Linked DNA regions of Drosophila melanogaster. The protein of the gene in region 2 interacts with the protein of the main gene of each other region in a pairwise test. Each region holds a gene or a part of one and is shown on either strand. Other genes may lie near its edges.

Evidence for each region.
Region 1: the proteins of toc (region 2) and mRpS17 interact in a two-hybrid assay, tested with the Drosophila melanogaster proteins (one large-scale study listed by BioGRID).
Region 3: the proteins of toc (region 2) and CG15482 interact in a two-hybrid assay, tested with the Drosophila melanogaster proteins (one large-scale study listed by BioGRID).

The regions. Positions count from the first base shown.
Region 1 is NT_033778.4:24,173,091-24,176,389, reverse strand, and holds mRpS17 (mitochondrial ribosomal protein S17), read left to right. Parts: upstream 1-1,948; 5' UTR 1,949-2,022; coding exon 2,023-2,130; intron 2,131-2,194; coding exon 2,195-2,554; 3' UTR 2,555-2,725; downstream 2,726-3,299. Other genes in the region: Nop60B (nucleolar protein at 60B), read right to left, coding at 199-473, 666-917, 994-1,362, 1,423-1,435; CG3328 (uncharacterized protein), read right to left, coding at 2,994-3,074, 3,135-3,299.
Region 2 is NT_033779.5:3,141,762-3,146,446, forward strand, and holds the start of toc (toucan), read right to left. Parts: upstream 3,026-4,685; 5' UTR 2,587-3,025; coding exon 2,578-2,586; intron 1-2,577. Other genes in the region: ND-B14.5B (NADH dehydrogenase (ubiquinone) B14.5 B subunit), read right to left, coding at 3,439-3,488, 3,544-3,687, 3,767-3,923.
Region 3 is NT_033779.5:13,210,247-13,213,581, forward strand, and holds CG15482 (uncharacterized protein), read right to left. Parts: upstream 1,569-3,335; 5' UTR 1,536-1,568; coding exon 606-1,535; 3' UTR 527-605; downstream 1-526. Other genes in the region: kek4 (kekkon 4), read right to left, coding at 2,411-2,697, 2,763-3,335.

The DNA.
Region 1 (3,299 bases), on a different chromosome or scaffold from region 2:
GGGGGTCCTTTGCTAGAGGAAATGTCGACCGAATATTCTTTGTCGAGCGCGCAGGATAAGAGCGCTGCCCAACATACACACATCAGCAGCTTTGCTGTTCCCAATCATAGTCACAGGTGCCCGTGGGGATTGCAGGCACCTGCCGGCTTAATATCATGGGGTACTACTTCGCAAACGGCAACTGGATGTCAAACTTACCGAACTGTCCTTCATAATAATGCGCTTGTGGTTGACCAGCAGACCTTCTAGCGGCTTGATCACACGTCGCAGCATAGACTCGTCCTTGTGGTTTTCGTACAGCCACATGGCGTCCAAAACATCGTGCATGGTCACCATACCATCGCGCTCAGACTGAATGCCCGAGCGGACACGGCGGAGCTCCAGCATCTGGCCACCGACACCCAGTACGAGACCAAGATGGACGCACATGGTACGGATGTAGGAGCCGGCCTCGCAACTAACCCAAAAAACACCTGAGCACGTGAGTGGGCAGAATTGGAGGAGAGAAAAAGACGAGGTTTTAACAATTACATTGTGCATTTGCTGTGTTAGGCAAATACTGGTGTTTCACTGGCTGAAGCAGGCTGCACCTCTGCAGGATAAACTAATCCAGCAGCGACGCACCAACTCTGAGCGAGAATGGATAAACAAAACTTCTGACTTACCCATATTTCGGGTTTCATCGTAGTCCAACAGCTTGCTGTCGTAGACAGTACGAACGCGCAACTGACGCTTTACGGCGGAGATGAGTGGAGGTCTCTGGAAGAGGGCACCACGCAGCTTCTCCAGGCCCTGACGCACCTTGGCCACCGACTCCACGGCTCCGTGCAGCTTGAAGATGGCCACGTACTCCTTGCCGGCGCTCTGCTGGGACTTCACCAGACGGGTGGCCCTGTCAATACAAACAATCAGGCAACCTGTAGGAAAAAAAAACACGCGGCACACAATGAGGTTAGGTTTGTATGGCGGTAGGCGAGCACGCGCTTCACTTACCCGTGACTTTGGGATCCAGCGTGCCGGAGTGGCCTGTCTTCTCCACCTTGAGGATTTTCTTGATCCAGGCCACCACCTCGTGGGAGCTGGGGTTCGACGGCTTGTCCAGGTTGATGAAGCCAGTCTTCATGTACTCTTTGATGTCGCGGTTCAGGGGCGACGATCCGTGCGCCAGCGGAGTGTAGTGGTTGGAACGGATGTTCAACTTGTCGAAGTTCTTCAGGAGCAGCGGCCATTGCGAGGTGTCCAGCTCGGCGATCTTGGAGGAGGGCTTGATTTGGAAGTTGCCCTGCTTCTGCAGCGTGCCAATGTCATCGCCGTCCAAGGGCTCCTCCTTGATCTTCTTCTTTTTCTTCTCCTTGCGTACTTCTGCGGGCGCATAGTCCGTTTATTTGGGCACTCTTTTAATTCATCACTTGCCAGACTTACCCACGTCGGCCATTTTATCTACGTTTTCTGCTAAATCAACTAATAGACGGAGAGAAACCTCCGCACGTGTTGCGCGCTGCGAGAAAATGGACGAAAAACACGTGGAGTGCGCGGTCTATCGATAAGTGTGACTACACAGAAATGTATTTCATGAAGACATCGATACATAAATGGAAATCTTGCGATATGTCATCGTGAGCCGAATTCCTTATTACAATTTTGAATTAAAAATATGTATTATTCATAAACAAAATGAATTTAAAGGTATTTACTTTGACGTAAACATTTTTAATCCATTAAAGCATTATTTAATTGAAAAGATATGTTATGTAAAACTGATACACTGTTTATAGTACGGTGAAAATGTTATGTCCTTAGAATCCACTTGTTTTTGCGATGAAAAGTCATACTACCCTACTTTTTAACTGACGCGTGCAAGCTGATTGCATTTGGCGGGATTTTGAAAATCAGAAACTGCTGAGTAAAAAATATCGAAATATTGATAGTTCCAGGCCCAATCGATACTATCGCCAGTGATCTACCAGCTGTGTTTCCCAACCGGTTGTTTATTTTTCTAAACTCTTAAATTAAATTAAAGTAATGTCGAGGCGAGGACTCCTACTAATGGGCCAGTGCATGCCCTGCATCAAGCAGAACGCCTCCAAGATCCGCATTCGCCGAATGGAGCTGGACAAGAACCTGAATATGGTGTGCATAATATACATTAGATCTCGCCTCAGGAGATTTCACACAATTTCCCTTCTGCTCGCAGTACTTTAAGAAGGACGAGTTCTACTTCGCCCACGATCCGCAGAAGGTGTGCAAGACCGGGGACGTGGTCCTGATACGGGAACTGCCAGAGCGCCTCACCCGCCTCATCACGCACAACGTGGAAAAAGTGGTCTATCCGCTGGGTGACATAACGGACCCGCTCACTGGCAAGAAGGTGGTCGTGGGCAATTACCGCGAGGACATCGAGATGGCCAACCAGCTGTTCGGCAAGTCAGAGAAGGCCTTCGACTACGAGAAGGCACCGCCCCGCGGTCGCCTGGAGGGAACCAAGGACTTCACCCACGGGGAAACATACATCAAGTACCACGAGGATGGCAAGGATCAGCCGTTCGCCGTTTAGAGCTCTGCCGGTCGTTTATCTGTTAAGTTTCCCCTTTGTTTAATAGTAAAGTGCATTAATATGACGTACATATGTTTCTCGGTTTTCTTATAAAATGGTTAGGCCGACGAAAGAAGATATTTTTATAGGTTTTTGATTGCTTGAATTGAATTAAAAAGGCAGGTTTAAAAGATTTCTCTACATATTTTATTTTAATGGTCGATAGTTGTTTTTTTTTTTTTGCATTTATTGATGATTTGTTGTGTATACGTATAAATGTATGCATTTTCAACTTCCTCTCGCTGATCAACAGTTTTTGATTATTTAATTTTTGAATTTTCCTAATTCAAACGATTTTTCCGCGCCAGGTGCCAGGACACATCCGCAACACCGAAACGTGCTGCACACGCACATGGTTTTAGAGTTCAGATTCGGTCCGTGCCATAAATTAAGCTGAATACTAATCACAATCTCTTACGATCCTAAAGTTGTACTGGAGTATGGGGTTTGCCGGGTGAGCGTTGTCGTCGCACAGTTTTTGCTGCAACGAAAAGGAGGCTAGAGTCGCTGGATTTCGCGTTAATGCGTCCGGATAACGCACCTGCTCCAGGTCGTGGCTGGCGCGGAGCATAAACTCCCGTAGGAAGTAGCCGCGGGCGGGAAGATCCAGGGCCAGGCTCAGTTTGTTCTTGCCCTGCTGCTTGAGGATCTTCACCCCGCTGGTGGACTCGGCCTCGTCATCCTCGTTCAGCTGGCCGTTGGCACT
Region 2 (4,685 bases):
AGCAAACAAAACCGAAACCGATGATGTTGCGAATTAGCATATATTATATCGACATAAGGTTCACCTGTTTGTTTAATGCGAATATATACCAATGCAAATTCCAACAGATGTATTTCAATATGTGGGCGTAAAGGAAAAGCGGTATCCATACATTTTCATGCTGCAAACGCAGTCATAAATAAATGGAAAATTGCGATTCGCAATGGATGCCAGAAGCCCTTTTTGGTGGCATGCAACGCATTTCTCGTTGAGTCAATACACAAATGCCACCGCCGCCAGCATAAATCATAAATGGCAAGCCAATAGTGGATCAGCTAGAGGGAATAGTATACATATATATATATGAGAAGATTCTGGGGAAACGTAGAGGAGTGGATAAGCTCTTCGTATTGAAACAGATGCTACAAACTGGAAAACTGATGCCATTACAAGAGTATAAATTTATGGTTTATACTATTCCCATAGCGAATTCTACTTTGCTGTAGTATTTCAGATACCTTTAAGGTCTAGTTTGAAGTGCAGAACATGAATCTCAATAGTTTTCAATTTATGTAACTAAATGTATATCCGAAGCTTTTCTCGAAATAATCACCCTTAGCCTTTCATGAGCGAATTTTCATGCTGTTTTTCTTCATCTTTTCCGCATAAGTGGGTGGTAGCAACAACATGTACGTCTAAAAGAAAAATTGCTTCAACTTATTGTTAGTTTCGCCCCGTTATCCTTGCACTTGCAGGCAGGTCCTGCGGTTGCGCCTGCTGCTGTTGACACGAAAAAAAGTGTATATAGGAGGCGCCCCCCTGTCGACAATTGTATGAGAGGAATATAATAGTGCTACAGGCTGCACATAATGATATAGGGGTCATGGCAAGACGACAGAATGGATGAAAAGTGGGGGAAAAGTGGGCGGCAAGAACTCTGATGATTATGAGGCTGTCGCGGAAAAAGGCAAAGGCAAAAAAGTAAAACCTTAGTCATTGAAGGATATAATAGTACATATATTTCGGATGTACCCTGTAGACATTACGATAGGGCATTCTGATTGAATTAAAAGTGAAATTGTTTTATGGAAATATATTTAATTCAAAACTTTCGTTTCAGTGCGGAAAATGAGACTTTTATATCACATATCAGTGAATTTTTTTACGATTTTTGAGGATTTTATATCCTTGCTTGAGCATAGTATTTACCCGTCTGGGAAAACCACTCAAGGACAATTTGTAGTAAAGTGCCCAATGCTGGGCACTTCGTACTAAGCACGTAATAATAGTAGTACCTCTGGTTAACTCAGTGCCTCGAGAATCTCGATTGTAAAGTCTGAACTTGACTTGGGGACATTTGGCCACATGGGCGTGCAAATCAAAATTTCATAGCCAGCCAACGAAGGGAGGAAAATGGAGAGAGCTGGATGGTTGAGTAAAAGTGGAAAACTTTAAGATAGAGCAAAGTAATTTCATGTTGAGCGACAAGTGGCAAGGTAATTTATCAAGAGCAAAACAAACCTGTCACGAGCGAAAGTTCTTCAAGCAGACACGCGACAGTGGTTGGATGGGCACACCACCCAGAGTCACCCATAACCATCCACCCACTCCCGATTCCCACACGTGGTGGGTGATAAAAAATGTATTGCCAAATTGGCTCGAACTGCACATATCGAGCCAAGAACCTCGAGAATAATGTGCCTCATTTCGGCCACGAAAAAAGCAGCTGGCCAGTGAGAAATGGCTTCACTCCTTCGACGTTCTGCGGACGGAGCTTTAATCCCTTGATTGGGATTGAGGGCTCCTTGGCTTTTTATGCCCTATGTCGTAATAGCGTGCAGATTGGGCCATAAGCGGAATTTTCCGCTTTTCCGGGCGGAGTGGGTGGCAAGTACTTGGAAAACTCGCTCATTAGCCTGATGAAGAGGATAGTAAAGTGTTTAAAAGAGCAGAGATGTCGCCAGCTGAGAAAATATGAGAGCTGTTATGTAAGATGCGGCATTTAAGAGAGAAATTTTCTAACTAATATATATTTCATTCAATGGAACAAGACTAACGCTGCTTTAAAATATTTACAATTTTCTAAAAATATTACAAATCCTTTTAAATACCATACCAAAACATGTTTGTTAGTAGCAAAATTCTAGAATGAAGTTAAGCGCAGTTATCATTTCAAACTTTACTACCCTGTTTACTCTGTTATTCAAGTGCTTACTTCTATTCTATGTTCTATGTTTCTTTTACGACGGAACCCGAAACTCTGCCCACTCCCCCGCCCCGTATCCACCGCACGGGGAGCACCTTTTGGCATAACGGTTTTTATGGCTACACAAAAATGCGATGCCCGTTCAATTTTACACATCATAAAGTAACGGTTGCTGGGGAATCGATTCGCCGCAATCCAGGGAAATCAATGCGAATCCGCACTGAACATGCATAATTCATACAAACGTATCCACCCGCAGGAACCACCCACCCACACACAAGCAATGAAATAAAAACCAAATTGACAAACATTTGCCGTGGAAGAGAAAAGACCAGCATCTGTTCATAAATAAATAAGTTGGTAATAAAATTAAGAGCTCGGCTTTTTCTTACCTTCGCCATAATCGTTGTTTGCTGATGATAAGAAAATTTGCAGGTGAACTGAGCCGACGGTGAACTTTCGCCAAACTTTCAGTTGCTTAACCTTTTACTGGGTCGAAAAAAAAAACAATCTTATAATGCCAATTAATTAACAATAATTCGTTTCGCTGTGTTTGACTATTAGTGTTGGCATTTATTTTTCACTGATTACACTTTATTTCGGTTTTCGTAAATTGTAACGGTAAAACGAAGACGCACACACGCACACAAACTGGGCTTAAAATTACGTTGTTTATTTCATAGAGATTTTTTGTGTATATATATTTAAATCCAATCTCTGGCTGGTTGGATTTCGAATTTTTTTATTGATTTTTTAGCGCGTTCTTTCAGCTTCCTGGCTGCTATTCAAAAATGGTAATTTATTCGCGGACAAACTTTTTGCGCAGACACATCCTACCAAAAGTTCGATCCGTTTTTCACCGCGACAAAAGAGCGTTTGCTCGCCAAAGCCTCTTTCTGGAGATGGCACTTGGACCGTTGGAGCAATCGATAACTCCCGGGTATCGCGCACCAATTTCAGGTACAGAAGTGCGCTAATCGCTAGCTGAGACTCAAACCAAAACATAGCTTAACAAATTTATTTCAAAACTAAATAGTTGCGAAAAATGTAAGCCCTAGGTACATTCCATCAATTTAAACCATAACATTATGCCAATATGCTGTAAGTCCATAATATGCATGCAATTCCTTTCGAATAAAAAACCATAGAATGCCCAATCCATTTGCTCCATTTTCGTGTTCATATGTTTTACAATTAAAGCTGTTTTATTAACTACTTCCATCGTTCGTTTGACAACAAAGATTTAGATCCACTTAGCGCACTGGCACCCAACTCTCCAGCACTTGGCCATAGGTCTTGCGTTCTGGAAGGGGCAAAAACGGTAAGTAATGGTTAGCTTGCATCCATGCCGCACTTACCCTTCACCGGGAAATCGTCGGGATGCAGTTCGATGTAGTGCCGGAGGACGGCGTCCCTTTTGGCCAGGTACTCGTTCCTCTTCTGATCGAAATAAGCTCCTGCGCCGACGCCGATAGCTCCGAAGGCGATGTGCTTCTGGATGCCTGGAATACGTTGCGATTTAGTTAGTTATAGGCGACAAAAACAATCGTTACGTCACATGGAAGCGGGGCGAAAACTCACCGGAAAACACGGGCTTACGGAAGCCCCAGTTGATGAAAATGGCCGCGCCCACGCCGGCCACACCGCAGGCAATCGGATTCCATATCGGCGAGAGGAAAGAAGGCTCGTGGGTGCCCTTGTTCGTCAAAAGTTCCAGCGGATCGTTCACGGCACTCATGTTGATAGGATGAAAAACAATAGCGGTGGGCAACTAACGCAGTTAGCGATGTCACTGGCAGAACTCTCAGCTATCGATAGCGTGCGAACTGAACTAGTTCCGTAACGATTATTTAAAACGTAAGTTGTATATAATTTAAATAATATAAACAAACACGTATTGCACATTGCCAACTTTATTTGGTTCCTTTTATATTGGAAACTACAAATTATTCACTCGCGCACTAAAATCAGAATAAATATTCAACTAGCCACTAACTAACTAACCGAAATAACAAACCAAAAATAAACGAATTCAAAACGTTGATGAAAAATGTTGTCCACATGATGAAATATCTCAAGTTCAAGCCAGGGTTTTATGTTTTTCCTTTTATTTGAATTCATTTTTTAATATTACATTAGTACGTTTAACATTAAGAGGCATGCAAGGCGTATTTAAGGCAATTTATAGCATTCAAAAACTAGTAAACTTCAAGGCAACTATTTCTGTTTCTTGTTCGTTTGGTAATCAGTATCGCTGCTTGGATATTAAGACATTATTAAATTTTTCTTTGCTCCACACAATTCGCACAACATCAAAGGCCGACGTGGAATATCGAACAGGCACAAATATTACAATATTATTATTAATTTTTTTTAGTAAGGCCCAAGTTTTGCCCAAGCCTCTAATATACAGCTATTTTTACATTATATCTTTTTATATCTTATTTAAATCCGAGCGTAAAAAGTAAAAAAAAAGAACTCATAAGTCAAAAACAGGTTT
Region 3 (3,335 bases), about 10 Mb from region 2:
CTCTCACACTAGACGGATGTTTTTTATTTTCTAGTTGCGTTCTTTTAGTTTGTTTTATTTAGTTTGTCTTGTTTAGTATGTCGTCCCCTGATGATGGCGCTTTAATTTTTTGTTGCGTAAAAAGCGAAGCGACGCTGCCTGAGGATTCAGCGCACCGCTCTCTCGATTTCTAGTACAATTTTAGAATATCTGCACATGCGCCTTAATGATATAAGGTTATACACATAATTATATATTTCTAACACATTAACGTAGAATATTTAAAATCTAAATTTTATGTATGTAAGCTCAAAATTTGTAAATTCCCTTTAAAGTACGATGTAAGTGTGAGGAACAACAAAATTGTACGAATAGCATGTTATCCAAACTGTTGCCGAATTGAAAAGCCTTGTACGACTTGTATGTATATATATTCAGCAACGGAAGTAGGATGCCTGGATCAGGAAGTAGCTGCTTTTATCAAATGTAATCTCTGATACTTTGTCCTAATTTATTAATGCATATAGTAAGTGCGAGTTCAAGTTTTATGTTTCCTTGTTTAATCTTAGACTTAAATACATGGCCAAAAATATTGCGAATTCCAAAAAAAAAAAAAACCGGAAGTTTTATATACTTGCCTCGCTAATCACTTTCAGTTCGACGGTTAGCGATTGCTGCCAAACATCTAAATCCATTAGTGGCCGGAGGTCATTCAAGCTGATGAGGATCACGTTGCTGTCGGTCTTGATGAACTCACTGCAGGATTGGTTCGACGACAGTGGCAGCATTGGACGAGCTTTTATCTGTCTGGTGTAGTAACGTGGCAGGTTGGCAGGTTGGACCAGCAGGCGCAGAGTGATGGCCACGCCGTGCAAAGGAGTAGCCACCCAGATGGCCAGGACTTCGTGTTTGACACGCTTCCTTTCCCACAGCACCGAGTGCATGGTGCGGCAGGCGAAGATCATAAGGGCGCTATGCTGCGAGAAGCGGCGGTACTCCACTGGCAGATGGGTGTTTCGGTGACATTTCAGAGGATTAAGGCCAGTGCGCCGATAGCCATAGACCCCCAGCAGGGTGTTGACATCTCTTTCCAGGCTACTAATATGACATGTTAGTGACACTCGCTTGCCCATTTCCAGTTCATAAAACGGAACTCCCATTCCCGGCAGATGGTCACTCAAATAGTGACCCAACAGAGCGCTGGGGTCAACCGAGCATAGGCATCCGTGACATGGGCATGCCACCAGGCGCAGTCGGCTCCACGGCGAATCGCTAGATGTGGTCGCAGTGCTCTTCCTGCTGCTGGACGGCTGCTCGGTCAGCGATTCGAAGTTCTGCAGTTTGAGGAGCAGCTGATCCTCGGGAGCTGGCGCGGCCACCGATGCCGGCAGTCTGTAGTTGGAAAAGTGTTTCGTGTACAGCAAATCTTGCATTTCCTGCAGGCGCTGCTTTCGCCTCTCCTGACGCTTTCGATTCCGGCTCAATCCATGGATGGGAGATTGATCTTTGCCGGAATCGGCGGCCTGGTTGGTACGCGAGGTAAATGGCGCAGTCATTGTGGTAGGTAATCAGGCTTGCCAAAACGACATAATTTTGATAAGAAACTAGACAGATAGACAGATACTAGCAACTTTTGAAAGTCTACTGTGTTGACAAGTAGATCCTTTTGATTTTATAATAGTTAAATATTTATTATTCAGTTGGGCCGAAATCCCGGCGGTACTGCAATACCGGGCCAACCCGCGACAGAGGTGGAGCAAGCCCCTAGCACTCCGTCTGATTCCAAAAATCAGTTTAACATTTGTTGTCCTCCAATGGAGGAACTATCAGATGTTAAGCTGATAAGAACAGATACTACACTTTGATCTTAGCCATAAGGCCGAGAAGCGATAACTTGAAACGGAAAACGAAAAGGGTCTCCATGAGCAAACGGCCAGAAGCAGTTGGGAATTGTAGCACACACAAGAATGAATTCGGGGTAGGTCAGGGATGATAGAACGTAGAGTACGGTAAAAGTGGGTCAGGTAAATAAAATCAAACGATTTACTAAAAATGCTTTTTAGAATTCGATGATAATATAAGATTAATTCAAGTAAGCTACACATTTTTCATTTAAAGGCATCACTTAAAACTTTATTATTACATTCCTTTCACTTAAAGTGCGTGGGTTAAAACACTTAGAACTGTGTAAATAAATATTTTTATATATTAGTAACGTTTTAAAATACATAATTTACTACCAGAAATAAGGCGAGGTATATTTCTTCTTGACTGGATCTCCTTTGTCCATCTATCTCCTGGAGGTCTTAGAGAGGTAGGGCTGGATATGAATTGAAATCCTGGCAAAGACTAAAATTTCAATGGCATGGGGTTTACGGTGGATTCGCAGCTGTGTATGGTGGGAAATGCCATATTATAAAACATTAATATATTATATTGAGATATCAACACCAGTAATGGGTTCTTTAGTACTGATATTCTTTATTCTAACACTGCCGTACTTCTCCTTTAGGTACTTTTGCACATTGGTATTGTACTTGCTTCGGGGATTAACTTCTGCTTTTTTCGCTGATGGACCGAAAGTTTCATTAATATTTTTTAAGGCAGTAGGTTGAGTGGAAGGCAAAAGGTCCGGTTGGAGTTCATCGATTTGTCCCTTCTTTCTTGAGCAGCCTGTTGATTGCAAGGAACTCTGCCGGGAATCCTTATCGAGCTCATCTAAGTAGGAGAAAAACAAGAATAAGTTAAAATTTGAGCACTAATTTTATTTGGCATTTTATTGCCTTTCTGTTTGAGCTCTTCCTTTTCCCGGTCACCAGCTATATTTGAATAGAGCTCCCGATTCCGCGATGAAATGGATTCCGCCTGATTGTCTAGATTTTCAGTATATGTGTTGCTGTTTAATCTCACGTCTTTATAATTTCTCGTGTGCATATACTCGCTGCCATTCGAATTGGATGTTTTAAATAAAGTGTAATTTTTATTTGATGGTTCATTGATAGCACTTAATGGATCCAGCACTATTTTACTTTCCCTTATAACTCCAGAACTTAGGGCGCTGATGGCGGTGGCTTCTTCACTGCCAGGTGACTGAACGGGCAAACTAGTGGGTTGCAAATAAGTGTGCTGGCCGGGATGGAACTGCTTGAATCTCTTAAATATTAGGCATGTTACCAACGAAAATAGAATCGACATGCTGAGAAAACCCATGGCTATAAGGCAGACTATTGCAAAGAAGTTGCTGTCGATGAGGGAAATCCTTTCCATATCCTTTTGCACCACCACACTTATGTGAACCGAATCCTTGCCACCGGGATTTTCCGCCAGACAGGTATAGACGCCCTCATCGCTCTTAC